4 linked regions of the Anolis sagrei genome follow. Each later gene encodes a partner of the first gene's protein in a complex. Links are inferred from orthologs where the notes say so. Each region holds a gene or a part of one and is shown on either strand. Other genes may lie near its edges.

Evidence for each region.
Region 2: POLR1H (region 1) and UBTF share a complex: the UniProt entries of both Homo sapiens proteins name them as parts of the pol I pre-initiation complex. The link is inferred for Anolis sagrei from reciprocal best matches to the Homo sapiens genes POLR1H and UBTF.
Region 3: POLR1H (region 1) and POLR2K share a complex: the UniProt entries of both Homo sapiens proteins name them as parts of the pol I pre-initiation complex. The link is inferred for Anolis sagrei from reciprocal best matches to the Homo sapiens genes POLR1H and POLR2K.
Region 4: POLR1H (region 1) and RRN3 share a complex: the UniProt entries of both Homo sapiens proteins name them as parts of the pol I pre-initiation complex. The link is inferred for Anolis sagrei from reciprocal best matches to the Homo sapiens genes POLR1H and RRN3.

The regions. Positions count from the first base shown.
Region 1 is NC_090022.1:23,170,737-23,178,421, reverse strand, and holds the start of POLR1H (DNA-directed RNA polymerase I subunit RPA12), read right to left. Parts: upstream 3,013-7,685; 5' UTR 2,933-3,012; intron 660-2,932; 5' UTR 639-659; coding exon 509-638; intron 381-508; coding exon 283-380; intron 1-282. UniProt on the Homo sapiens protein: Core component of RNA polymerase I (Pol I), a DNA-dependent RNA polymerase which synthesizes ribosomal RNA precursors using the four ribonucleoside triphosphates as substrates. Can mediate Pol I proofreading of the nascent RNA transcript.
Region 2 is NC_090026.1:44,541,050-44,547,963, reverse strand, and holds the start of UBTF (nucleolar transcription factor 1), read right to left. Parts: upstream 3,005-6,914; 5' UTR 2,913-3,004; intron 2,617-2,912; exon of another isoform or gene 2,486-2,616; intron 1,035-2,485; exon of another isoform or gene 848-1,034; intron 1-847. UniProt on the Homo sapiens protein: Recognizes the ribosomal RNA gene promoter and activates transcription mediated by RNA polymerase I (Pol I) through cooperative interactions with the transcription factor SL1/TIF-IB complex.
Region 3 is NC_090024.1:31,136,483-31,143,390, reverse strand, and holds the start of POLR2K (DNA-directed RNA polymerases I, II, and III subunit RPABC4), read left to right. Parts: upstream 1-3,892; 5' UTR 3,893-3,971; intron 3,972-5,858; 5' UTR 5,859-5,864; coding exon 5,865-5,925; intron 5,926-6,792; coding exon 6,793-6,885; intron 6,886-6,908. UniProt on the Homo sapiens protein: DNA-dependent RNA polymerase catalyzes the transcription of DNA into RNA using the four ribonucleoside triphosphates as substrates.
Region 4 is NC_090034.1:24,534,194-24,541,817, forward strand, and holds the start of RRN3 (RNA polymerase I-specific transcription initiation factor RRN3), read left to right. Parts: upstream 1-4,608; 5' UTR 4,609-4,757; intron 4,758-6,707; 5' UTR 6,708-6,717; coding exon 6,718-6,810; intron 6,811-7,060; coding exon 7,061-7,117; intron 7,118-7,384; coding exon 7,385-7,474; intron 7,475-7,577; coding exon 7,578-7,624. Other genes in the region: transmembrane protein 238-like, read left to right, coding at 787-1,224. UniProt on the Homo sapiens protein: Required for efficient transcription initiation by RNA polymerase I (Pol I). Required for the formation of the competent pre-initiation complex (PIC).

The sequences.
Region 1 (7,685 bases):
ACAGCCTACATGGCACTACACCACCAGTCCTTTTGACACATCTTGTTCTCCCTTTGGAATAAAGCACAATGGGGAACTTGTGGCACCCCCAAATATTGATCAAAGACTTCTTCTATCATCCATCATCACTGATCAAGCTGGCTACGGTTGATGGAAACTACAGTCTAAATGGCCACAGGTTCTCCAGCCATGATAAAAGGAAATAGGATTTCATATGTTTTGCTATAGACACATGAAATTATTAGCATTATAATTACTCATTTCACTTCCCCATTCACTCACCAGTGGTCCTTTGACTGCTTTTCCTCCATCCACTTCCGAAGATGTGGTATCTGTCCTGTTGAAGGTGACTGATGTATCAATAACTCTCTTTTCAAATTCTGTGAAGTTAATAAACACATGTGTAGATAAGAAGCATATGTACTCTAACTCACCCATTTTTAAAAAACATGTTTACTAAATACCCCACCTCCGGTTATGGAATATTCTAGAGGCAGAAAGCCCTTACCTTGCACATCAATGAAGAAGGCGCAATAGCGACATGCCACCTTATCCTGAAGACCTGGTAATGGAAGGACTGTACCACATTCAGGACAGAAATCTAGTTCTGACTCAAAGCAGGAACTATTCTGTTCCATATTGACCAAGGAGAAGACAGACTGTAGGAGAGGGAAGATGTATAGGTTGAGCATCCTTTAATTATAATTCCTGTGCGATTAGAATCCCTCTGTATCCAGAGAGCCCACATCAACAGATTCAACTATACATGACTTGAATCTATCGATCTATCTATCTATCTATCTATCTATCTATCTATCTATCTATTTATAAAGGCTATGTTCGTTTTGAGTAACATCACAACTCAAAAACCGCTGGACTAATTGCCAGCAAATTTGGTCACAAGTTACCTACTAATCCAAGGAGTGAGCATCACTAAAAAATTAATCTTGTCATTTGGAAGTTGTAGTTCCTGGGATTTATAGTTAACCTACAATCAAAGAGCATTTTGACCTCTCCCAACGATGGAATTGAACCAAACTTGGCACACAGGACTCCCATGTCCAACAGGAAACACGAGAAGGGTTTGGTGGGTATTGACCTTGAGTTTTGGAGTTGTAGTTCACCTACATTCAGAGAACACTGTGGACTCAAATAATGAAGGATCTAGACTAAATTTGGCACGAATAATCCATATGCCTAAATGTGAACACAGATGGAGTTTGGGTAAATAGACCTTGAGTTGTAGTTACTGGAATTTATAGTTCATCTATAACCAAATAGCATTCTGAACCCCAGCAACGATAGAATTGGGCCAAACTTCCCACACAGAACCCCCATGACCAACAGAAAATACTGTGTTTTTTGGTGGTCTTTGGCAATCCTTCTGACGCCCCCTGACGACCCACCCAAGGGGTCCCAACCCCCAGGTTGAGAAATGCTGTGTTAAGGCCATCTAGTCCAACAACCTTCACCAGGGCAAGAAAACATAATCAAAGCCCTCCTGACAAAGAGCCATCCAACTTCCCCAGCTTCCTGAGCTGAGGGTTAGGGTTAGGGTTCCACATCTGAACATTAGGAAGAACTTCCTGACTGTGAGAGCCGTTCAGCAGTGGAACTCTCTGCCCCGGAGTGTGGTGGAGGCTCCTTCTTTGGGAGCTTTTAAGCAGAGGCTGGATGGCCATCTGTCAGGGGTGCTTTGAATGCAATATTCCTGCTTCTTGGCAGGAGGTTGGACTGGATGGCCCATGAGGTCTCTTCCAACTCTATGATTCTATGATTCTATACACACAGAGACATATGTATATGACAGATATTGTATCATAGATTTTCAAAAGGTCCCTAAAGAAGAACAATTATATGTTGCATGTTTCAGAGTAGGCAAACCAGACAATCAACACTGACAAAGAAACAACAAGAAATACTATTTACCTGCAAGCATAAAGAAATTACATCATTATCTATATAAATAAAAATGTAATGTTCGTTTTTGATATTCATAGAACTCAAAAACCACTGGGGGAATTGACACCAAATTTGGACACAAGACACCTAACAACCCAATGTATGTCCTTCACTAAAAAAAAAAATATGATTTTGACATTTGGGAGTTCTAGTTGCTGGGATTTATAGTTCACCTACAATCAAAGAACATTCTGAACCCCACCAACGATGGTATTGAACCAAACGACACACAGTTCTCCCATGACCAACAGAAAATACTGGAAGGGTTTGGTGGGCAGTGTCCTTTGGTTTTGGAGTTGTAGTTCACCTACATCCAGAGATCACTGTGGACTCAAGCAATGATGGATCCACAACTCTACAAGAATACTCAATATGCCCAAATGTGAATACTGGTAAAGTTTGGGGAAAATGGAATCTTGACATTTGCCGGGATTTATAGTTCACCTACAATCACAGAGCATTCTGAACCCCACCAACGATAGAATTGGGCCAAACCTCCCACACAGAACACCCATGTGGGCCACAGCAACGCGTGGCAGGGGACGGCTAGTTATATATTAGAAACCAACACTTTCTCATTACTTTGTTTTCCAGATCACTAGACTGGGCCACAACAACACATGGCACCAACACACACACACATAATTTAAAAAGCAAGAGCCCTGATTTTACTATTTTATATAAGCAACTATGCCATTGTATATACAGCATTGGGATTAGAGAATGCATGGGCAAACTTGGGCCCTCCAGGTGTTTTGGACTTCAACTCCCACAATTCCTAACAGCCGTAGGCTGTTAGGAATTGTGGGAGTTGAAGTCCAAAACACCTGGAGGGCCCAAGTTTGTCCATGCCTGCCTTAAGAGCTGGTGTCTCACCAAACTTCAAATCCCAAGTGTAGATGCACACCTAAAAAGCAAAAAATCTTAAGTAAGCTCTGAGCCTAATCTAATGAACAGCCCTGATTCTTACCGACTCTAATCCAGGTGCTCCACGTGGGTTCACAGGCAGAACTCACTTCCTTTCTCGGAGAGACGAGCTCGGAGGGAACTTGAGCTAGAGCGCCTCCACTCCATGAGCACTTCCGCTCTGTTTCAAAGCGGAGATACAGTGTAGCCAGTTCTATGGGAGCTTAGCACGTTTGATTATTTAGTTTAGTATTCTGTCCCTTTGAACACACTCAATGTCTTCTTCCCCTCCGTCTTGATTCTCCTTTCTCCAAATAATCGGGATTCAAATGTTCTTTTTTATTGTATTGTTTTAACTGACCACCTTAATTAGCATTTGATGGCTTGACAGTGCCTGGGGGAATCTTTTGTTGAGAGCTGATTAGATGTGCCTGATTGTTTACTCTCAACAAAAGATTCCCCCAGGCACTGCCAAGCCATCAAATGCTAATCAAGGTGGTCAGTTGAAACATTCACACCTAGCTCCAGTGGACAAGAGTCCTTTGTCCCACCCTGGTCATTCCACAGATATATAAACCCCCTTTTCCTAGTTCCAACAGACATCAAATGCTAATTAAGGGGGTCAGTTGAAACATTCACACCTAGCTCCAGCAGACAAGAGTCCTCTGTCCCACCCCAGTCATTCCACAGATATATAAACCCATTTTCCTACTTTTCACTACCTCTGAGGATGCTTGCCATAGATGCAGGCGAAACGTCAGGAGAAAATGCCTCTAGAACATGGCCATATAACCCAAAAAAACCTACAACAACCCAGTTCTTTTTATTTTTGTAGACAGTCAGATCTCTGTATCCACGGGTTCTGTTTCCACGGATCCAGCCAAACATAAATTTAAAATATTCCCCCCTCCACACTAAAACAAAATCTCAAAAGCAATAATAACTATCATACACCCCTAGAGGACTCATCATACACTTTATTTATATTTCGCCCTTCTCCCCTAGAGGACTCAGAGCAGATTACAGCATCTACATTTATTGATTGATTGATTTACCATATTTATATACCACCTTTCTCAGCCCGAGGGCGACTCAGGGCAGTTTACAAACGGCACAATTCGATGCCCCCAACAACATAAAACAATTAAAAACATTTGGCATAAATAGTAAAAACCAATAAAAACCAAAATCCTCAGCATCTCATTACTAAAATCATTATCCAATCATTATCCAGTAGAATACCAAGTATGCAAACTTTGTGTGTTGTTTGTTTGTTTGTTTGTGTTTAATGCAATACAACTGTTTTGGTTTGCTCCTGACACGATATATAAATAATTATCCAATTGCATTGTCGTTCCGTAGATCAGAGTTGTCTGCTACACTGCATTTGGAAATGCTTGCTCAAAAGGTCAAGTTTTAACTTTTTTGCGAAATTATAGGAGGGTGGGGCCGATCTGATATCCCTAGGGAGGGTGTTCCACAGCCAAGGGGCCACTGCTGAGAAGGCCCTGTCCCTCGTCCCCGACAACCAAATTTGTGACGAAGGCGGGACCGAGAGCAGGGTCTCCCCAGATGATCTTAGAGTCCTAGATGGTTCATAAGGAGTGATACATTTGGATAGGTAAGCTGGGCCAAAACCATTTAGGGTTTAATAGGCTAAAGCCAGCACTTTGAATTGTGCCCGGTAGCAGACTGGCAGCCAGTGGAGCTGATGCAACAGGGGGGTTGCATCAGGGGAGTGCTGCTCCTGTTAACAACCTGGCTGCCGCATGCTGGACCATTTGAAGTTTCTGAACAGTCTTCAAATGCAACCCCATGTAGAGAGCATTGCAGTAGTCTATACGGGATGTAGCCAGAGGGTGGATTACCGTGGCTAAATCAGACTTCCTAAGGTATGGGTACAACTGGTACACAAGTTTTAACTGTGCAAATGCTCTCCTGGTCACCGCCAAGACCTGGGGTTCCACACTCAGTGATGAATCTAGGATCACTCCCAAGCTGCGAACCTGCAATCCCCCGTGTATCCCCGTCCAACACAGGCTGTAACCCTATGCCCTATTCAGCCTTGCAACTGACCAGGAGGACCTGTCTTGTCTGGATTCAGTTTCAACTTGTTCGCCCTCATCCAGACCATCACAGCCATTATTATTATTATTATTATTATTATTATTATTATCCTTCTTAGTAGCAGGCAAACATAGGCAAATAGTCAATGCATTTACAATCATATACAATGAGACACATAAACACAAACAAAGGCAGAAGCAAGTTTTGTTTTTGCCATTTTAGGCAAGTGACATTTCACCATGACATTGTATATAACACTATGTAACATTTTTTTAAAAAAAAAATCTGTTTCTGGTTTGAAAGTGTTTCCTGTTTAATAGTACAGTACTTACTTGAAAGTAGTTGTCATAGTCCAGAAACTTCGTTTTTTGTGACTGCCACGAACTGTGTTGAATTGGTTGAGATTTGATGAGAAATTGAAAAACTATAGCAAGATGTGTTGCAGGATGTCCCGCAAAAAACGAAGTTTAATAAACCTTTTCCACGATCTTATGATAGAACCAATTAGAAAATGACATTTATAATCCACGAACAAAAATAGTGTAATGGGACTTGTACACCCATGGATTTTGGTATCCAAAACCCAGTGAATGGCAAGACCCTACTGTACAATCAACAGATGTAAAGAGGCATTCAGTCACACATTTTGTGGAACCAATCTAGAGACACTTTGTCTCAATCTTTCTCTCTACTTCTCTGGTTGGATCTACACTGCCCTGTATCACAGATTATCTGCTTATCCCAGGTTATCTGGCGGTGTAGACTCATATAATCCAGTTCAAAGCAGATCATCTGAGATAAGATCCTGGAATATAGGGCAGTGTAGATCCAGCCTCAGGCCTCTTCTCCACTGCTATATAATCCAGTTCAAAGCAGATAATCTGGATTTTATATGGCAGTGTAGAAGGGGCCTCACTCTCCCTGGGGACTTTATGTTATAGCAGGGCTTCTTAAACTTTTGCACCTAGGAGACCCCTTTTAGCCCAGTCATATTTTATGTGACCCCAGATATATAGGTATACAAAATTGGTATAAACATCAAAAATGTACTGGTAGAAAATTGGGATTTGCAAGGTTGGCTAAACATGCTGGGTTTCCTTTTTATGAAGTACAGCTGAAGCATCTTCTGCAGAGACTACTGTAAACACTGCACAACAGATTCATGTAAATGGCATTCAGAAAGACTTTTACTGTTGCCATTTGCAGGGGGGGGGGCACTCCAGCATTGAGCTCAGGGGACCACATTTGAGGTTGGGCCCAATTGTTTAAGAACCAATGTGTTATTAGGATAAGATACAGGTATTATTAACAAACCATTCAAATCACTGCATTCTCAGGCCTGGCTACCATTCCATTCCTGTCTATCACTTTGCTTCCTATCACTTTCCATCTCTCTTGGCAGATTGCTACAAGTGAACATTACCTCCTCCTGCATATCAAAAGTTTTGTGCATTTTTGTCAGTCATATTCCCTAAAAAGTGTATTCAGTGCTTCAGACTGAAGTTTTTGCCATTTATTTGAATAATGCCACAAGGTGGCACCAACTCTGGAAAAAAAAAGCTGTGCCTTTTTAAAGTATACTTTTCTCCTCAAAGCTAATCTCAGTTGGGAGATTATCAAAACACATCCAGTCTGTCCCATCAAATCTTGGAAGCTAAGCAGGCTCAGCCCTGGTTAGTACTTGGACGGAAGTACCACCAACAAATACTAGATGCTTTAGTCTCTATTTCAGAGGAAGGAACCAGCAAAACTATCTTTAGTATTCCTTTCCCAAGAAAGCCCTATAGAATTCATGAGGCATGATGAAGGCACAATACAAGCATGGACAAGGCCAGAGCTCTTTAAAGTTTTCCCACTTGCAGCCCCTTTTCCCCTGAACTTTTTTTTACATGACCCCAGATATATAGGTATATAAAATAGATATAGAAAGCAAATGTTTATTGAAAGAAATTTATTTTAAAACAACTCTTTGGTTTACATATAATGTTACCATTTATTTAAGATGAAAGCGAACATACATACTAATGAGATGGGTGCATTTGTTTATTTTTACATGAAGAATTAAATCTTGGTCGAATATTTGATATTTCGGCATGTAATAATAATAATAATAATAATACACTTTATTTATATTCTGCTTTATTTCCCCAGAGGGACTCAGAGAGGATTACAGTTTTACATATATAAGGCAAACATTCAATGCCTTTTTACATAGTGAACAAACAACATGCAAAACACAGACAGAAGTAAAGGCCTCCCTCTTTCCATCTCCGGCATCTGGAGGTGATGCTCATCTTCAGCCATGGGGAGGTGCTCTTGTTCCATTTTTCCATACTGAGGAGCCTATTGTCCATAGACTTTCTCTGATGCTGCCAGCATGTCTGCATGGGGCACCCTTTTACCTCCCTGCAGAGGTAGTACCTATTGATCTACTCGCATTACATGCTTCTGAACAGCTAGGTAGGCAGAAGCTAGGGCTCACAACTGGGAGCTCACCCTGACTCGCAGCTTTGAACTTCTAACCCTCTGGACAGCAGATTTTCTGGAGCTAGCAATTTTAACCACTGCGCTACTGTGGCCCATTTTTTCTCTTAAATTGGGAGAGCACAATGGGGTGTTTTAGGGCTCCATCCCTCCAACTTTAAAAGGACCTGGGTTGCAAAGTGGGGTCATGTACCTTAAATGGGCCAACATCCACTTCCCTCTTGTTCCCATCATCCTTTCTTCCCCACAAAACAAATAGGTGGCAT
Region 2 (6,914 bases), on another chromosome or scaffold:
TGTGCCTCCCTTTCCCATTAATTTTCAATCCCAATCGGAAGCTTCCTCTCAAACCAAATCCCCGCCATTAAACCACCTCATTTCCTTCCCCATATTGTATTATTTTCCCCCCATTCCCAACCGAAATCTTTATATTTTCAACCTCAATCCGAAACTTGGTTTCAATCCGAATCCCTTCCATTAAACCGTGCCTCTTTTTCTTCCCTATATTATATTATTTTCCCCAAATCGGAGGCTTCATTTCGACCCAAATCCCTTCCCTTAAACTACCTCCCTATGTCCCCCCCCCTCCAAATTATCTCAACCCGAATCCCTTCCTTATTATTTCCAACCAGGAGCTTTCTTCTCGACTGAAATACACGCCTCTATGCGATTTGCAATCCCAATCGGAAGCTTTTTCCCAACCCCAAATCCCTTTTTGTATTTCCCCAAATCCCTTCTCATATTTTCCCTTCCCTTCTTAAATTTTCCCCAACCCCAAATCCCTTCTTTCCCCAAACCCCTTGTATTTTCCCTTCCCCAACCCCATTATCTCCTTATATTTTCCCTTCCCCAACTCCATTCCCTTCTCATATTTTCCCAACCCAATTCCCTTCTTATATTTTCCCTCCCCCAACCGCAACCCCATTCCCTTCATAAATTTTTCCTTCCCCAACCCCATTCCCTTCTATTTTCCCTTCCCCAACCGCAAACCCATTCCCTTCTTATATTTTCCCTTCCCCAACCCCATTCCCTTCTAATATCCCCCTTCCCAATCCGAATCCCTTCCCTCCTTTTCTTACTACATCCTCCCTCTTCTTCCCCTTCTTTCTCCCCCAAAACAAGCCGCCTTGGTGGAGAAACCAACCTCTGGGGCGCCTCCGCAAAGAAAGAAAGAAAGAAAGGGAAGAAGAAGAAGAAGGGAGAAGCCGAAGCCAGGGCTGCTGCTGCCTTCGCCGCCGCTCAAAAGGAAGGAAGGACGAACCCGCCTCGTTGTGGCAAAAGCGAAAAGGGGAGGAGGAGGAGCAGCAGCAGCAGCAGGAGCCGGAGAGAGGAGCCGCTGCAGCAAGAGCCCCATCGGAGCCGCGGCTGGAGGAAGGGGGGCGGCGGGAGGGAGAGGAGAGGAGAGGAGGCGAGGAGAGAGAGAAAGAGGAGAGAGCAGCGAGGCAGGCAGCCATGAAGGAAGAAGGCATGGCCGGCGGAAGGGCTGCGAAGCTAGGCCTACCGAGGGGAGGCGCTCCCCGGGGGGATCTGGGCGAGGAAAGGCCGCGAGGGTGGCTCCCGCTACCCTCGCGGCCTTTCCTCGCCCAGATCCCCCCGGGGAGCGCCTCCCCTCGTGCACCCATTGGGAAGAAAACACCCCAAACCAATAAGCACCCATTGGCGTTGCTTTCTTTGCACAGAAAAGGCACAATAGGGTGGCCTTCACTTCCAAAATACATTTAAGGATTCCCTTTTTAGTCGGGGGTCAAAATAAACAAAAACGGGGAGGATTTAGACTTTACAAAGGGGGGAAAATTGGGGGTTCGGTTTCTCTTTTGATACCGAAAAAAGGGGAAGATTTGGACTTTGTAGGGGGATGATTAAGTGGGGGAAATTGGGGGTTCGGTCTCTTTTGACACCGCCAAAGGGGAAGATTTAGACTTTATAGAGGGAGGGTAAAGGGGGGAATTTGGGGGGGGGGGTTCAGTCTCTTGACACCGCAAAAAGGGGAAGATTTAGACTATAGGGGGAGGATTAACGGGAGGAAATTGGGGGTTCAGTCTCTCATTTGACACCGCAAAAAGGGGAAGATTTGGACTTTATAGGGGGTGGATTTAGGCTCCATAAAGGAGGGAAGATTTAGACTTTATAGGGGGAGGATAAAGGGGGGAAATTGGGGGTTCAGTCTCTCTTTCGACACAACAAAAAGGGGAATATTTAGACTTTATAGGGGAAGGATAAAGGAGGGAAAATTGGGGGTTCAGTCTCTATTTTGACACCGGCAAAGGGGAGAATTTAGACTTTATAGGGGAGGATTTAGGCTCCATAAAGGGGGGGGATATTTAGACTATAGGGGGAGGATAAAGGGGCGAAATTGTGGGTTCGGTCTCTTTTTGCCACCGCCAAAGGGGAAAATTTAGACTTTATAGGGGGTGGATTTAGGCTCCATAAAGGTGGGGAAAGGGGGAATATTTAGACTTTATAGGGGGAGGATTTAGGCTCTGAAAAGGGGGGAATATTTAGATTTTATAGGGGGAGGATTTAGGCTCTATAAAGAGGGGAAATTAGGAGTTCAGTCTCTCTTTGACACCACAAAAAGGGAAGATTTTAGACTTTATATTAGGGAAGAATAGAAGCGATTCAGTCCCTTTGCCAAAGAAGAGCCTTTCTTCCATGGCCGCCACTCGTGGCCCTTCTCTTTCCTGCTTTCGGCAGCCGCGTGGCAAAAAAACCCCCGACTTTCGAATCAATATATCCCCAAAAGTAAAGAACGGGTTGTGTTTTTCTTCCCCAGTTTGCTTACCGTTGCTGCAAGAGCCTCTCCTGCCTGTTTTCCCTTCTTGTTTGCTTGCAGCTGCTGCAAGAACCTCGCCTGCCTTGCCTTCCCCTTCCCTTCTTCTCGCCTGCTTGCTTCCTCCGGAGCGGCAACAAAAGCGCCTCCTTCCTTCTCTCTCTCTCCCTCCCTCTCCCTCCCCAGATGGCGGTGCTCACCCTCGGCTCAATGGCGAGCCAAGCCCCGGCTGCAGGAAAGAGAGGGAGAGAGGAGGAGGAGGAAGCAGGAGTAGCAGCAGCAGCAAGCAGAGGCTCTCCTCCTCCTCCACTTCGGATCGTGCCTTCCTCTCTCCCTCTTTCCCCCTCCCCTCCTCGCCCACCCACTCCTCGCCTTTGCCGCGGGGGGAAACATCTCCCCAGACAGACCGACCCCCCTATTCGTCCCCTGGCCTTCTTACCTGCTTCTCGGGGAAAAGGCAGCAGAGAGAGGCTCGTTGTTTCCGGAGGAGCGCGGGTTGACTGCACGCCAGCTCTGCAGCGCTGGCCCCGGGCGTGGACTCCTCGCTCCCGTCCCCGCAGAGAGAGCTGGCGCGGCTTTCCCCCGCCTCCATCGCGCTCGCTGTTGCTGCTGCTGCTGCCTCTGCCTCCTCTCTCTCTCTCTCTCTCCCTCCTCTCTCTCTCTTCCAATCCGGATCCTTCAGGCCAGAGCTGCTCCTGCTTCCCTTCCTCCTTCTTCTCCTTCTCCTCCAAGGCAGGACCCATCTTGGCTGCTTCCTCCCCGCCTCCTCTCTCTTCCCTCTCTGTGCTCTTCTGTCCGCCTTTCCTTTTTGCTTCTCTCTTGTGTTTTTATTGCTCTTTTGCTTGTGCAACACTGTTGTACTCCAACCAGAAGGGAGGGGGGAAAAGAGAGAGAGAGAAAGAAGGAAGGGAGGAGGAGGAGGAGGGGGCCAAGCCCTACATTTGCCACAAATCCTCTCCTCTTCTCCGTCTCTTCTTCCTTTTGGCGGGGATCACAAATCACACACGCACTGCAGTCGGGTTTTTAATTCCTCCTGAGACCTCCCCCTTTTTTCTCTCTTTCTCTTTTCAAAAGGAAAGAGAGATAGAAAAAGATCCGTTTCTATGATGCCCAAAGCAAACCATTCTTTTCTGCCACTGCGGACATGTTTTTTTTTGCAACTGAGCCATCTTTTTTTTTTAAAGGGTCCCTCTTTTGTTTGACTTGTAAACAACTAGTAAGAAAAAAAACAAACCCAAAAGGGACACTCCTCTTTTGATTTTTTTGTGGAGGGGGAAAAAAAATTAATAATCATGACGTTTTTCCAAAGCCAAAAAGGCAAGCTTGTCTTTTTTTCCCCTCCTCCCTCCTCGTTTCTGTCTCTCTCTTTTTTAAATTTTTTTTTTTTTTTTACTTTCCGAGCTCCACCTTTGTTGTTAAGGGCGTCATCTCCGGCTCCAGCCAATCCTCGGCTTTGGGAGCTGTCTGTCAAATTAACGCCGCTTCCAATGCGCAAAAGCGACTCTTTGACGCGCAGACGAAGACGCCATTAGGTGTATTTTTTATGGTGAGAGGTAGGCGGGTTCAGCCAGATCTATGCAGTCCTCTTCCCCCGCCTTAAAGTAATAATCATAAATAGTATGGGATTCCATTGCCTTTATTTTCTGCTCCGATTTGTAAATAGAAGAAGATTTAGACCATGACCATACAGCCCGAAAAAACCTACAACAACCCAGTGATTCCGGCCATGAAAGCCTTCGACAATACATAGAAGAAGATTGTCTATAGGCCCTCCCAGACAGGCCTTCAGTCCCAGGTTTTCTGCTTTAAATTGGATTATGTTGTTGTTGTTCATTCGTTCAGTCGTCTCCGACTCCTCGTGACCTCATGGACCAGTCCACGCCAGAGCTCCCTGTCGGCCGTCACCACCCCCAGCTCCCTCAAGGTCAGTCCAGTCACTTCAAGGATGCCATCCATCTTGCCCTTGGTCGGCCCCTCTTCCTTTTGCCTTCCACTTTCCCCAGCATAATTGTCTTCTCTAGGCTTTGCTGTCTCCTCATGATGTGGCCAAAGTACTTCAACTTTGTCTCTAGTATCCTTCCCTCCAATGAGCAGCCGGGCTTTATTTCCTGGAGGATGGACTGGTTGGATCTTCTCGCAGTCCAAGGCACTCTCAGAACTTTCCTCCAACACCACAGCTCAAAAGCATCGATTTTCCTTCGCTCAGCCTTCCCTAAGGTCCAGCTCTCACATCCGTAGGTGACTACAGGGAATACCATGGCTTTGACTAGGCGGATCTTTGTTGCCAGTCTGATGTCTCTACTCTTTACTATTTTATCGAGACTGGACATTGCTCTCCTCCCAAGAAGTAAGCGTCTTCTGATTTCCTGGCCACAATCTGCATCTGCAGTCATCTTTGCACTTAGATTATATTAAATTGGATTATACTACCTTCGTTACTTGGGTTTGGATGGGAATCTTATCAATCTTCTTCTATCTTCTATATCAGGGGTCCTCAAACTAAGGCCCAGTGGCTGGATGTAGCCCTCCAAGGTCATTTACCTGGCCCTCGCTCAGGGTCTACCTAAGTCTGAAGTGACTTGAAAGCACACAACAACAATTATCCTATCACAACAGCCAAAAGCAGGCCCACACTTCCCATTGAAATACTAATAAGTTTATAGTTGTTAAAATTGTTCATTTTAATGTATTGTTTTTAAGTGGGGTTTTTTTTGCACAACAAATAAGATATGTGCAGTGTGCATAGGAATTCATTCATGTTTTTTTCAAATTATAATCCGGCCCTCCAACATTTTGTGGGACCATGACCTGGCCCTCTGTTTAAAAAGTTTGAGGACCCCTGTTCTATATAAATAAAAATATAATATTCGTTTGTGGGATTAACAGAACTCAAAAACCAGTGGGCGAATTGACACCAAATTTGGACACAAGACACCTAACAATCCAATGTATGTCCTTCACTCAAAAAAATTGATTTTGTCTTTTGGGAGTTGTAGTTGCTGGGATTTATAGTTCACCTACAATCGCATGATAAAACTGAACCAACCGGGTCATACAGGACTCCCATGACCAACAGAAAACACTAGAAGGGTTTGGTGAGCATTGACCTTGAGTTTGGAAGTTGTAGTTCACCTACATCCAGAGAGCACTGTGTATTCAAACAATGATGGATCTGGACCAAATTTGCCACGAATATTCCATATGCCGAAATGTGAACACAGATGGAGTTTGGGGGAAATAGACGTTGACATTTGGGAGTTGTACTTACTGGGATTTATAGTTCACCTACAATCAAAGAGCATTCTGAACCCCACCAACGACATAACTGGGGCAAACTTCCCACACAGAACCCCCATACTTGAGGTTATCCAGTCCAAGTCCCTTCACCAGGGCAAGAAAACGTAAATCAAGACCCTCCTGACATTTTTATTTATATAGATGATTCACACACAGAGATTTAAGGCGCTCCATTGGCTGCCGTTTACCTACCAAACCCAATTCAAGGTGCAGGTGCTTACCTACAAAGCCCTAAACGGTTTGGGACCTGCCTACCTGCGTGACCGCATCTCCGTGTATGAACCCACACGATCCCTTCGTTCATCCAGAGAGGCCCTGCTTATGATCCCACCTGCATCACAGGCATGTTTGGTGGGGACGAGGGACAGGGCCTTCTCTGGTTGCCCCTTGACTCTGGAACACCCTCCCCAAAGACATTAGACTAACTAGCACCCACGTTGGCAGTCTTCAGGAAGAATCTGAAGACCTGGCTATTCCGATGTGCCTTTCTGGAATAGGATAATCTCCAGCACTACGTCCCAGAAGCACTTTATTAGAGTTTAAGACTCTCTGCACATTGCACTTGCCCGGAAATCCAAATACCACCTGCCAGACCCAGCACTTTTTAACTTGTACCCATCACTGGCCTGGCCCTGGTTTTTATTGCATAATTGATGTATTGTTTTTATTGCTTATGTTTTTATTTTGCTTTAAATTGTACTGTTATTGTTTTGCTGTTGTTGTGTTGAGGCCTTGGCCTTTGTAAGCCGTATCGAGTCCTGCGGGCGATGCTAGCGGGGTACAAATAAAGTTTAATAATAATAATAATATGTAATTTCTTTATACTTGTGGGTAAACAGTATTTCTTATTAGGTTCTTGTGGGTTTTTTCGGGCTATAGGGCCATGTTCTAGAGGCATTTCTCCTGACGTTTCGCCTGCATCTATGGCAAGCATCCTCAGAGGTAGTGAGGTCTGTTGGAATTAGGACAATGGGTTTATATATCTGTGGAATGGCTGGAGTGGGGCAAAGAGCTCTTCCCTGCTGGAGCTAGGTGTGAATACACCTATCAGGCCAACGAGTGACCTTCACTCATAAAAACACTGAAAAACACTGCAGAAAGGGCTTAAAAAGTTAAAAAATCAGAGCTCAGCTTTCATTTCTTA
Region 3 (6,908 bases), on another chromosome or scaffold:
CATTGAGTTAGTAAATGCTGGCTGTGTGAAATTCCCATCCTTCAAAGCAGGACAACTTACCAAATTACTTGGAAGACCAGCAATTGCTTCAAATGAAGTGCTTCATTATTATTGGAGGAGGGAAAGTAAAACAAAGAAACCAATAACCCCCCCCCCCCAAGAGAACTACTAGTAGTAGTATCCTAACTAATTAATAAGTTAATTTGAAGCAAAGCATGGAGTTCACACAAAAGCAATGAGCACTGAGTCTAGTAACATTCTATGTGCGTTCTTCCTTCCTTCAGGAGCAGGCAAGGGGACAGACACAACTCTTCTCATGACACAACCAGCTGGAGAGTCACTACAAGGGCGTTGAAAGGAGGCAAGAGGAGGAGGAGGAGGAAGAGTGTGCCCAATGGAAGGGGGGTTTAAAGCGGGGAGGGAGAGGATGGTGTCCAAGGAGCAGCGCTGAACTCCTTCCCAGCGTTGCCTCGGAGAAGAAGGGAGAGCTCTGCAAAGAAGCATCAGCAGCCACTTCTCCTCTTCTTCTTCTTCCTCTTCCTCCCTGTTGCTTCAACCGGCTGCCCTCGTGCGCCTTCCTCCTCAGGGTTTCCCTCGCTCCATTTTGAACTACCCGCCTTTCCCAACTGATTAGGCTTCTCCCCTCCTCTTCCTCCTCCTCTTTGGCTGCCAAGGAGAGGAAGCCACAACAAGAAAGCCCAGCCAAGAAGGCAGCAGCAGCAGCAGCAAAGCGCCCAAGAGGCTTTCCTGCACTTCTTAGAACTGAGCCAGGGCAGTGAAAGTGACCTCAAGCTACATTGTTCCTACAATGTAATCCACAAATGTCAAAGTCATTGTCATTTTTGTTTGTCGAAGGCTTTCATGGCCGGAATCACTGGGTTGCTGTGAGTTTTCCGGGCTCTATAGCCATGTTCCAGAAGCATTCTCTCCTGACGTTTCGCCCACATCTATGGCAGGCATCCTCAGAGGTTGAGGGGTCTGTTGGAAACTAGGCAAGTGAAGATTATCTATCTGTGGAACGTCCAGGGTGGGGAAAAGAACTCTTGTCTGCGGATGTTGCAGTTGGCCACCATGATTAGCATTTAACAGCCTTTAATTGCAGTCCAACACACTTCTGGTTCTCATGTTGGGGAAAGGATAAGAGATATTTTCAAGTCAGACATCATATCCATAAGCTTTATATCTAAATTCAAACCCTTTTTCTCCAAACTAAACAGAACGAATTGCAGCCTTCCAGATGCTACTGTATCACAGTTCCCATCAGCTCTAGTCATGATGTCTCAAGAGGAGGAATGCAGGTATTGTAGCCCAGTGTCTATCAAAACACAGATGCACCCAAAGAATTGGTGATTTATTAAGGGGAGCCCCCAGTGGCGCAGTGGGTTAAAGCACTGAGTTGCTGAGCTTGTTGATCGAAAGGTCGCAGGTTCGATTCCGGGGAGCGGCGTGAGCTTCCGCTGTCAGCCCTAGCTTCTGCCAACCTAGCAGTTCGAAAACATGCAAATGTGAGTAGATCAATAGGTACCGCTCCGGCGGGAAGGTAACGGCGCTCCATGCAGTCATGCCGGCCACATGACCTTGGAGGTGTCTACGGACAACGCTGGCTCTTCGGCTTAGAAATGGAGATGAGCACCACACCCCAGAGTCAGACATGACTGGACTTAATGTCAGGGGAATACCTTTACCTTTACCTTTACACCAGGCATGGCAAACTTTGGCCCTCCAGGTGTTTTGGACTTCAACTCTCACAATACCTAACAGCCAGTGCTGTTAGGAATTGTGGGAGTTGAAATCCAAAACACTTGGAGGGCCAAAGTTTGACCATGCCTGTTTTACACTGTACAATTAATGCAGTCTGATACCACTTCAACTTTCAAGGCTTATGGGAATCATATTTTTCCAAGGTCCTCAGCCTTTTCTGTCACAGGGCTAGTGCAGTATCAAACTATAACTCCTATGATTTCATAGCATTGAGCCATAGCAATTAAAATACTCTCAAATATGTTAGATAAGAATGGGAATCACCTCCTCCTCTTTTTAAAGGTGTGATTGGCCCTCCTTTGGGCCAATGGTGAGGAAAGCTGAAAATTGGAATCCAGTAACATGTGGGGTTCATCTGCACTTAATACAGATATATCCCATGTGTTGCTGGTGGGTTTGACACAACTTTAATGACTACGGTCCAATGCCACGGAGTTGTAGTTGCTGGGATTTATAGTTCACCTACAATCAAAGAGCATTCTGAACTCCACCAATGATGGAATTGAACCAAACTTGGCAGACATAACTCCCATGAGCAACAGAAAATCCTGGAAGGGTTTGGTGGGCACTGACCTTGAGTTTTGGAGTTGTAGTTCACCTACATCCAGAGAGCACTGTGGACTCAAACAATGATGGATCTGGACCATACATGGCACAGATACTCAATATGCCCAAATGTGAACACTGGTGGAGTTTGGGGGAAATGGACCTTGACATTTGGGAGTTGTAGTTGCTGGGATTTATAGTTCCCCTACAATCAAAAAGCATTCTGAACCTCACCAATGATAGAACTGGGCCAAACTTCCCACACCAAACTGTGTTTTCTGATGGTCTTTGGTGACCCCCCCCCCCAGGGGTCCCAACCCCTAGGTTGAGAAACGCTGCTCTACACTATAGGATTGATGTAGTTTGATACCACTTTAACTGCCAAGGGCTCAGTACTGGGAATAATTTATTTATTATTTATTTAGAGCTTTTATAACCCTGTCTTCTCAACCTCTGAAGAGGGACTCCGGCCGGCTAACAGCAGAAAAGCTACCTATCTAACCGCATCTCGGCCTATGAACCTACCAGGACTTTGAGATCTTCCGAGGAGGCCCTGCTCTCGATCCCGCCTGCTTCTCAAGCACGGCTGGCGGGGACGAGAGATAGGGCCTTCTCGGTGGTGGCTCCTCGGCTGTGGAACGCCCTTCCTACCGACATTAGACTAGCATCATCTCTAATGGTATTCCGCAAAAAAGTGAAGACCTGGCTGTTTGTGCAGGCGTTCGAATAACTAGTGCAATGATTGGCAATGTACATAGGAATGGACAATGGATGACGAATCTGGATTATGTTTTGGACGATGAGACGATAGTGATTGGTTATTGTAGTAATTGTTTATTGATTGGGTAATGTGTTAAGTTGGTAATTGTTACATTATTGCATTGAATTATTGCTGTTTGTATTGATTGTGAACCGCTGTGAGTTGCCTTCGGGCTGAGAACAGCGGTATATAAGCAAAGTAAATAATAAGTAAATAAATAAATAAAAGTCAACACAAATATAGTAAACATAACAGCATCGTAATACATTAAAATACAGATCATACAATATCATACAAGTACAAAAGTCAGGTCGTCAGAATAAAATCACAATAAAATCATGGAAGTTGTAGTTCGACAAGGGCTTTAATCTCCTCTGCCAGACTGCTCGGTCCTCATGATTCCAGAGCAATTAGTCATTGCAGTTAAAGTGGTCTCAAACTGCATTAATTTGATAGTGTAGATACACCTAAAAAAGCCTAAAGCTTTCACTCTGATGTGAAATTGTAGTTGATATTAAGGGCCCTTCCAAACAGTCATATAACCCAGAATATCAAGGCAATATCTGCTTTGAACTGGGTTATCTGAGTCCACACTGCCATATATTCCAGCTAAAGCAGATAATGTGGGATTTTATTTAGCTGTGTGAAAGGAAGCAAAGAAAGCAACTGCTTCTTTAGTAAAGGTTAAGTTGCCAAGGCAAAGAAAATCAGTGTTAATTTTCAGCCTGTCCCTTTAAGAAAACATCGGAGAGGAGCAAATTCAAAACGCCTCCATGTGTCTGAATTGGAAAACTACTCCTAATGGAAGGGGCGGAGCTTAGGGTTTCTCTCCCCTTTGCAGAGCTTTCAAACGTCATCAGACTGCGCCGTCAGAGGAAGGAGTGCATGAGTTGTGCACGAGCTGGTAGGGCGCATTGTTTTCAATCAGATTGTTGATGGGAATTTTGTTTAGACGGGGCTGAAAGGGACTTTGGAGCACTTTAAGAGCATCTACACCAGGCATGAGCAAACTTGGACCCTCTAGGTGTTTTGGACTCCAACTCCCACCATTCCTAACAGCCTCAGGCCCCTTCCTTTTCCCCCTAAGCCGCTTAAGCGGCTGAGGGGGAAAAGGAAAGGGCCTGAGGCTGTTAGAAATGGTGGGAGTTGGAGTCCAAAACACCTGGAGGGCCCAAGTTTGCTCATGCCTGGTCTACACTGGATTTGAAGCAATTTGACACCACTTTTAACTGTCATGGCACAATACTATAGCATCAGGGGAGTTATTTTATAAGGTCTTCAGCTTTCTCTTCAAGATAATGCTGGTACCTTAATAAACTACATCTCCCACGAGTCAATTATATGGAGTCGTGACATTTAACAGTGGTATCAAACTGCATCAATTCTGCTGTGTAAATGCACCCCCCAAAAATGAAATTGATACCAGTTGAATAGCTCTTATTTGAAATGTTTGGATCCAGAAATCTTTTGGAGGAGATTTTGGAATGTCCGTATTTGCATAGGTGTACATAAGAAGACCTTGAAGGAGCTGGGGGTGGTGACGGCCGACAGGGAGCTCTGGCGTGGGCTGGTCCATGAGGTCATGAAGAGTCGGAGACGACTGAACAAATGAACAACAACAAACATAACAAGATCTCTTTCAGCCCTTCCGCACGACCATATAACCCAGAATATGAAGGCAGATCACCCACAATATCTGTTTTGAACTGGATTATTTGAGTCCACGCTGCCATATAATCTAGTTCAGTGTGGATTTTATACTACTGTGTGGAAGGGGTCTTAGAGATGGGACCCAAGTCTGAACATGAAATTCATTTGTGGGTTGTTGTAGGTTTTTCGGGCTGTATGGCCATGTTCTAGAAGCATTCTCTCCTGACATTTTGCCTCTGACATCCCCCTGTGACCCCCAGGCTGAAGAAACGCTGCTCTACATTATAGGATTGATGTAGTTCGATACCACTTTAACTGCCAAGGCATCCTCAGAGATTATGATGTTCAGACCTCACAACCTCTGAGGATGCCTGCCATAGATACAGGTGAAACATCAGGAGAGAATGCTTCTAGAACATAGCCATATAGCCCGAAAAACCTACAATGACCCAGTGATTCCAGCCATGGAAGCCTTCGACAATACAAATTCATTTGTGTTTCGTATAAGCCGTTTAGACAGTTTGTATATATTGAACCAGCAGAAAACAAAGGCACTGTTATTTCAACTGCCCTTGAAAACAGTTTGGATTTTAGAATTGCATATAAGGAATGCTGAACGTGTACCATAAGTTTTCACAAATTGGGTTGTTGTAGGTTTTTTCAGGCTGTATGGCCTCTAGACCATGGCCATACAGCCCGAAAAAAACCTACAACAACCCAGTGATTCCGGCCATGAAAGCCTTCGACAATACATTTTCACAAATTGTCTGCTTCCTCAGATGCATGGATTCCTTGAAAGTCCATGAAAGTTTATGCCAACCTTGTTCTCTTAGGGCCCTTCCACACAGCCATATAACCCATAATATGTACTTTGAGTTGGGTTATCTAAGTCCACACTGCCATTTATCCCTGTTCAAATCAGTTAATGTGGGATTTTATTCAGCTGTGTGGAAGGGGCTTCAATGAGACTCTAAGATGCTCCAAGATCTCTTTGCATATATGTTGAGTCTCATTTCCCTCTCTGGGCTTCTTCTTTGTAAACACATTAACAGTAAGATTGAAGGATGTTTGAAGGGCTGAAGGACGCTCTATGTGTTTGAAAGCTGTAATTGGTATGAATGAGTTGTCTTCCTTTTACTAGCAGAAGATGGACACCCAGACTGATGCACCTCCACCAAAGCAGCAACCAATGATATACATCTGTGGAGGTGAGTCCAGTGCAATGTCATTGTAGTAGGAAGAAGTCTGAAAATGAGACCCAAGAAAGTAGATGAAAATGACATCAAGGGTACTTCTAGAATACATTTTCACTCTGAAATTGCACTCCCTCTTTCTGGAAGCTTATGGGAGCTCTAGACAACAATGTCTTATATTTGTATCCTCCAGAAATAAGATTTGTTTCTTCTACCTTTCCTCATCTAAATTCCTTTAAGGATTAAAACAGAATAGAAGCACAGCTACTTTCATTCACTGGAATTATTCTGCTAAATCATTTGGGAAATTATTATTTGGGTATTGTGCTTATGATCATGGCCCAAATTGTCTTTAGGTAAATGAAATCACACAGCATTAAGTCATGGCAGCTAAAGTGGTGCCAAACTACATTTATTCTACAGTGTGTAGATGTATTCTTTTCTGGGCGTACTGCAGCTGCGTTGTTTTGCTTTAACATTTATCTGGTGCATACTCTCTACTACAAATCCATGTACTATCAGTGCACTGTGGGAAGGATACTAGTTTGTGTTTCAAAGACTGTAGTTCATGGTATATAAATATATTGTGTGAGCTGCATTGAGGATACTAAAAAACTCCTATATTAATGTATTGTTTTAACAAATTCCAACTTGTGAAATGTTAAGATTCTTTCATAATCACAGTGAACTTAAATTTATAGACTATGATGAGAGGTTCTTAATTCCACTATTTTAGTAAATAAATCAGTCAAAATCTGTACTTTTAAACAAGAATGTTTAAAAATTATAAAATGTCAAGTGCTTCTGTTGCTTTATTCTCAGTTCTTTTGCAGTTGGTTTCCAGGATTGGCCTCATAATGTAATTCTTTTTCTTCATTTCAGAATGTCACAAAGAAAATGAAATTAAAGCAAGAGATCCTATCAGATGCAGAGAATGTGGTTACAGAATAATGTACAAGAAAAGAACAAAAAGATGTATCCTTCTATATGTGTGTCTT
Region 4 (7,624 bases), on another chromosome or scaffold:
TGGTCATGGGAGTTCTGTGTGCCAAGTTTGGCTCAGTTCCATCATTGGTGGATTTCAGAATGCTCTTTGAGTAGGTTAACTATAAATCTCAGCAACTACAACTCACAAATGTCAAGGTCTATTTTCTCCAAACTCCACCAGTGTTCACAATTGGGCATATTGAGTATTTGTGCCAAGTTTGGTCCAGATCCATCATTGTGTGAGCCCACAGTGCTCTCTGGATGGAGGTGAACTATAACTCCTCAACTCAAGGTCCATGCCCATCAAACCCTTCCAGTATTTTCTGTTGATCATGGGAGTTCTGTGTGCCAAGTTTGGTTCAATTCCATCATTCGTGGATTTCAGAATGCTCTTTGTAGTTTAACTGTAAATCCCAGCAACTCCCAAATGACAAAATCAGTTCCCCCCAACCCCACCAGTATTCAAACTTGGGTGTATCGGGTATTTGTGCCAAATTTGGTCCAATTAATGAAACTACATCCTGTCTATCAGATAATGACATTACAATTCATAACAGTAGAAAAATTACAGTTATGAAGTAGCAACTAAAATAATATTATGGTTGGGGGTCACCACAACTTGAGGAACTGTATTAAGGGGCCACAGCATTAGGAAGGTTAAGAACCACTGTCCTAGGTATTTACAGAGTGTTATAATCCCAGTCTGGGATGTCTTTGGGACCAGTCGCTCAGAGGTCTGTGCAGAGGCTGTGTCCGCATAGAGACACGGCGAAGAGGCCTTCCATCCTGACTGTGGGCCTTCCGTAGCCCTTGTGTAGTAGGCATCATGGAGGCTGCCGGGGCAGGTCGTTGCCGTGGGGCCTTCTGGATGGCACTGCTCTTCGACGCGGCGGGCCTGTCGCTTCTGCTGCTGGGTTCCTTCGTGGACGTCTTTTTTGCAGACCTGCTAATCTACAGCGGGGGCGTGGGCCTGCTCTTCAGCCTCCTTTGGTGGGTCTTCTGGTACGTGGGCAACATTGAGGTACCGCCGGATGAGCTGCAGGATGACATAGGCTTGGGCGAGGAGGCCATGCCCGCGGCGATGGAGGCCGAAGCGACAGGCCGTGCCTGGCGGGTCCGTTTCATGGTCCGCTCCCTTGGCAGGCACCTCTCGGGCTCCTTCCACTCAAAGCCGGTCCACTCTGACAAGAAGACTGAGGCTGACTCTGCCGTTGGAGAGACAGTGACCGGTAGCCCGCCGTCGCAGAAGAGGCTAAGATTTTGAAGAAGATGCGCCATCCACGCTTGCTTGTTCCAACGACGATGTCCACCTTAGCACAGCCAACGAGGCCTTCCCTTCTTCGGTCGCTCGTGCTTTTTCCTCACACAAAGTGGCTTATGAATAGAAAGAAGAGAATGCAAAAAGCAAAAGGGCAAACCTGGGCCCTCTAGATGTTTTGGACTTCAACTCCCACAATTCCTAACAGTCTCGGGCCCCTTCCTTTTCCCCCTCATCCGCTTAAGCGGTTGAGGGGGAAAAGGAAGGGGCCAGAGGCTGTTAGGAATTGTGGGAGTTGAAGTCCAAAACACCTGGAGGGCCCAAGTTTTCCCATGCCTGAGATAGGCCCACATCTTTTGAAGCAAGGATTTGAATCTCTAACTCCTGAGAAAGATTTGGTGAACATGTCGGCCTAGAAAAAGGCTAGCTGCCATAAGAATCCCTTCAAGGAGGAACAATAATGGCGGCTGTGGGTTTTTTAACTGTCAAAGTACCAGCTGGGCCGCATCTATTTCCCATATTTCCTACACTTTGAATTGTGGCCTCAAGTCGGTCACCGTTTCCAAGTTATTTAAAAAAATATACATATTGTCTTCTAGACCAGGTTATTTGGAGCCAATTCAGTTGGAACAAAAAGCATTCGTGAATTTATCCTCAACTAAATAGGATAAAGAGGCCTCTGCCTTCCCTCCCCGTGAAACGTTCCCATTTTTGTCTTCTCTAAATACAGCAATGCAGACGTTTCAAAACACTCAGATACAAGACAGGAAAGATAACTTGGCAAGACTTGCCATTGAACTTAAGAAGCCTTATGTTGCATTTCTACATGGCAGCTAATTCCCCAAAGATGATTATTGTATTTATGTATGTATTTATTTCTTATTTATAGGTTTTCTTTTTGCATTAGCAAAAAGGTTGCTATATAGGTTGGAATATTCACGACAAATGCATCTTTTAGTGCAAAATTAATACGAACATCGTTTTCGTCATCGGAAAATGGGATATTGTTGAGAAATGAATGCTTTCTTTGCCGAAAAACCATAGACTATGGAGCTACATCGCTTAACAAATATTTAAAATATATATATATATATATACTTTAAATATATGTGGGGGGGGGGGGGAATCCACTGCCTGTATCTTACGTGACATAAGACTTATTTGGTTGTTTAAATTAAAATGGTTGAAATTAAAGATAGCTTTGAATTCTGAATAAAAAAGAATTTATGTTTTTTAAAAACCTTTCCCATAGTAGTATAGAGGAAAATAATATTAATACTTCCAAGGATGTGGATGCCCGTATTTTAAGCGTAGATGTACGAATATCGTTCTAAATAGAAGCAAATGTTTTATTTATTATGTCAGAAGTGATTTGAGAATACAGTTATAATGTATTTTAAAAACCACAAAGTTAAAAACTTGGCATTATAATAAATGTCCTTTGACCATTAGTGGCCACTTGGAGTACCTCTGATATTGCTGTAAAAAGGTCCGCCATTGTGCATGTGGTGGGACTCAGATTGCATTGTAGTAAGTGGTCTGTGGTTTGCTCATCTCCACACTTGCATATTGCGGACTCCAATTTGTAGCCCCATTTCTTAAGGTTGGCGCTGCATCTTGTGGTGCCAGAACACAGTCTGTTCAGCGTCTTCCATGTCACCCAGTCTTCTCTGTGCCAAGGAGGGTGTTTCTCATCCGGTATCAACCACTGATTGAGGTTCTGGGTTTTAGCCTGCCACTTTTGGACTCTCACTTGCTGAGGTGTTCCTGTGAGTATCTCTGTAGATCTTAGGAAGCTAATTCTTGATTTAAGGCGTTGGCGTGCTGACTGATATCTGAACAGAGGATGGGCTGGAGATGTCACTGCCTTGGTCCTTACATTATTGACTGCTACTTCCCGACAGATGCCAGGTGATGCAATACCAGCTAAATAGTACAATTTCTCCAGCTGTGTTGGGCGTAGACATTTTGTGATAATGTGGCATGTCTCAGTTGGAGTCACATCCACTGTTTTAACGTGGTGAGAAGTATTCCACACTAGACTTACGTATTCAGCAACAAAGTAGCAAAGTGCAAGGGCAGATGTCTTCACTGTCATAACAGAAGCATATAATAGATAGATACATAGGAGAGGATTACTTTGCTGGATCAATAAAACCACAGTTATTATTATTATTATGGAGAAGGTAATAGGCTGGATGAGGAAAAACAAATTGAGATGAACCCCGAACACGACAAAGAGGCTTGCCAACAAGGGTCCTATCTCTGTACAAAGTTTGGAAACACCAGTTCTAAATTTTTCAACCTGGAGGTCAGGGCCCCTGGGCGGTTTCATGAGGGGGTTTCAGAGGGGTCATCAAAGACCATACAAAACTTCTATGTGAGAAGTTTGACCCAATTCTATCATTGGTGGGGTTCAGAATACTCTTTGATTGTAATGAACTATAAATCCCAGCAACTACAACTCCTAAATGTCAAGTCTATTCTCCCCAAATTCCACCAGTGTTCACATTTGGGCATATTGAATATTCGTGCCAAGTTTGGTCCAGATCCATCATTGTTTGAGTCCACAGTGAAGTACAACTCCCAAACTCTAGGTCAATGCCCACCAAACCCTTCCAGGATTTTCTGTTGGTCATGGGAGTTCTGTGTGCTAACTTTGGTTCAATTCTATTATTGGTGGAGTACAGAATGCTCTTTGATTGTAGGTGAAGTATAAATCACAGCAACTACAACTCCCAAATGACAAAATCAATCCCACCCAACCCCACTAGTATTCAAATTTGGGCATATCGGGTATTTGTCTAATTTGGTCCAATGAATGAAAATAAATTCTGCATATCAGATATTTACATTTATAACAATAGCAACATTACAATTATGAAGCAGCAACAAAAATAATGTTATGGTTGGGGGTCACCACAACATGAGGAACTGCATTAAGGAGTCGCGGCATTAGGAAGGTTGAGAAACACTGTTAGAGCAACACGGGAAGGGTGTGTCTTTGGTTGATGAGCATTGGTTTATGGATTCGGCAGAACATACGCCTGGATAATGAATGCGTAGAGGTCTCCAGACTTAAAGCTGATGCTGCATATTCAAATATGTGTGAAAAGGAATGTAAAAGAATCTCAATCTTGTTCCAAATAATCCATAGAAGCATATATAGCAGGCATGGGCAAACTTGGGCTTTCTAGGTGTTTTGGACTTCAACTCCTACAATTCCTAACAGCCTACCGCCTATAATAATCCTTTTTTTACTTATGCTAGGAGGTCTGAAGTTTGCCCACGCACAGATCTCACAGACACAGTGTGAAGAGATGATGGGGAAGTTCCACGCCTTGCCGCAGGGGGCGCTAGTCCGCTCTCCTCCGGACCAGGCGCTGCTTCCAACTTCCGGGGACAGAGCAGGAAGTGGAGGCCTTTCCGGCTTGGGCGTGAAGAGCATGGACCCCGCGGAGGCTTTCGGAGGCTTCAGACCTTGGCGGAGGCTTGTTACTCAGCAGTGGTAGTCCGAAGGAGGGCGCCGCTGAACCAGGGTGAGTTGGGCCGGGTCCTAGGGGCATCCTCACTGTATACTACACGCAGTTCGGCACGTCTCAGTGAGCCATGGGAGCCATGTCTGAGTGCTGTGTGGGGAGTCAGGGGGATTGGCAGCTTCTTGAGCCGCCAGCACTCTTGGGCAGGGCACGGCCTTGGAAGACGACGACTGTTGTGAATAACTGTTCAATAACATTAAAGCGTAAGTTCTTATTATGCAATTTTCCAGTATGTGAAAGGGTATCAGAACTGTGTTGTTGAAGGCGTTCATGGCCGGAATCACTGAGTTGCTGTGAATTTTCCGGGCTGTTTGGCAATGTTCCAGCAGCATTCTCTCCTGACGTTCCGCCCATATCTATGGCAGGCATCCTCAGAGGAAACTAGGCGAGGTTTATATATCTGTGGAATGTCCGGGTTGGAAGAAAGAACTCTTGTCTGTCGGAGGAAACTGTGAATGTTTCAATTGGCCACCTTGATTAGTATTGAACGGTCTTGCAGCTTCAAAGCCTGGCTGGTTGATGCCTGGGGGAATCCTTTGTTGGGAGGTGTTAGCTGGCCCTGATTGTTTCTTGTCTGGAATTCCCCAATTTTCTGAGTGTTGTTCTTTATTTACTGTCTTAATTTTAGAGATTTTTAATGCTGGTAGCCAGAGTTTGTTCATTTTAATGGTTTCCTCCTTTCTGTTGAAATTGTCCACATGCTTCTGGATTTCAGTGGCTTATCTGTGTAGTCTGACATGTTCGTTATTAGAGTGGTCTAGCATATCTGTGTTCTCAAATAATATGCTGTGTCCAAGTTGGTTCACAACTGAAAGAAAGCTGTTCCAGTGCCTTAGTGCTCTGGGGTTTGGGTCATCACTCTCCAAGCCTCAAACTAGTTTCAGTATTTCCTGTGTAACCATCTGCACAACGAAACCTCTTCCTTTAATACCAGCTTGAAACTGGTTTAAGTATAGATAGGGCCCCAGTATAAAGTGGTTAGATGTTAGAAATTGATTTTGGAAACTAGTGGTCAGCATTTATGTGAGTGAAATAACACCACAGAAAGGAATTTATTGAAAGATGGGAAGTCTGGACCGAGAATGGGATAGAAAACTAATTGATTACATGGAGCTTTCACATGTGATGGAAACGTAGATGTCTCTCAAAAGAATCCAAGTGCTAATGGAGGCCCCATCTATACCGTCATATAATACAGCTACGACTGCATAGATGGGGCCTTAGTGCCACATCCCTGTCCAAGGCGAAGCAAAGATTCCTGTGATCCTAGTCACAGTAAGGGACTAATATGCACTGCGGTGACTTTCACTTCTTGTACGAATACTAGAGAGAGTAAACAATATAAAAACAAATGGAAGCAGTTCATGATACTTGAAGCCACTTTTCTGTCCTTTGCTCCCAAACTAGTCAGGATTCTGTTTTTATGATCTTGGCCGGTATTATTATTATTATTATTATTATTATTATTATTATGTTTATTTATACCCTTCTATATCTCTCCCGAAGGGGACTCAAAGCGACTAAAAGCTGCAGTAAAACCATGTTCTATGCTGTCTATGTCATGGGAAGTTTTTACTTTCTAATTAGTGTCCTTGCTTGGGATGGAGTCAAGAGGAGCAAATAAACAGCACAGTTTTCAGGAATGCAAGAATTGTGATGACCTGACCTCTTGGGTTAACATGAATACTGTCTTGTGTGCCTCCAAACTCAAGTTTGACTTACGGCAACTCGAAGGCAAACCTCTTTCATATGGTTTCCTGGCAATATTTGCCCAGAAGGTCTTTGTCACTGCCTTTCTCTGTTGTTCAAGGACAAGCCGTGGGCTTCCCTGGCTAATCCAGGAGTCAGACCTTGGTCTCCCAAGCCATAATTCAACATTCAAACTACTATACCACATTGGCTTTAAATATAGCTTGCATATTTCATCTTATGATTTCATTTGTTGTTTAGACTTTCTAACATGCTGTCTACAGATGAATTTCTGAGATCGCCACCAAGGAAAACAGTCAGATTTGGTGGATCGTTGGCAGAAATCCTGCTCAAATATGAAAAGGTAACATTACTGTACCCAATTATTAATCATAAGTGTTGCTGTTCTGATGTGCAAATTGAAGGGTCACCTTTTTGTCTGGGAAGTTTGGCCTTGGATAGTATATATAAGTTATTCATAAGAAATCAAATAGCAAAACCAGAGTTAATTGTTCCATCTTTATTGTACATGTTTAGATAAGTTTCTCGACGTCACCCCTTGTGAGACATAGAATATGTTGTCAGGTTACTCCTTGCTGTTTTTCTCTTCTTAGGGAGATACCATTGATTTTGATTTGTTGAGGCATCAGCTGTTGGATCCTGACATTAAAGTAAGTTTTTTTTCCATCAGAGTTTTAGGTAGTGTTCAGCGATTTAATGATTTCTTACATTTAAGATAATGAAATGTTTCAATCACTTTTGCCTGTTCTGACTTGGACATGTTGTTTATAATTCTTATCAGTAATCTGATTCATTCAAACATTCCCTAACCATATTTTAGAGTATTGATCTAAACAGACTTGTAATGCTTGTCACTTTATAATTTCTACACATGTTTGCCACATTGAGTTATTAAATGAAATTGTTTCTGTTTTAAGGATGACCAGATTATTAACTGGTTGCATGAATTCAGGTCTTCTGTGACACATTTGACCAAGGATTTTGAACACCTGGTCACCATCTTGTTGGTAAGAATACACAAATCGTTTCTGGGTTTTGTGGATGAATTTTATTCATTCTTTCTAGTACATGGGCTTAATTTTTATGCTTGTATGTATAATAACAATGCAGAAGGTGTCATGGCTAAGAAGAAGCCCAGCTGTAGTGGAAGAATACTT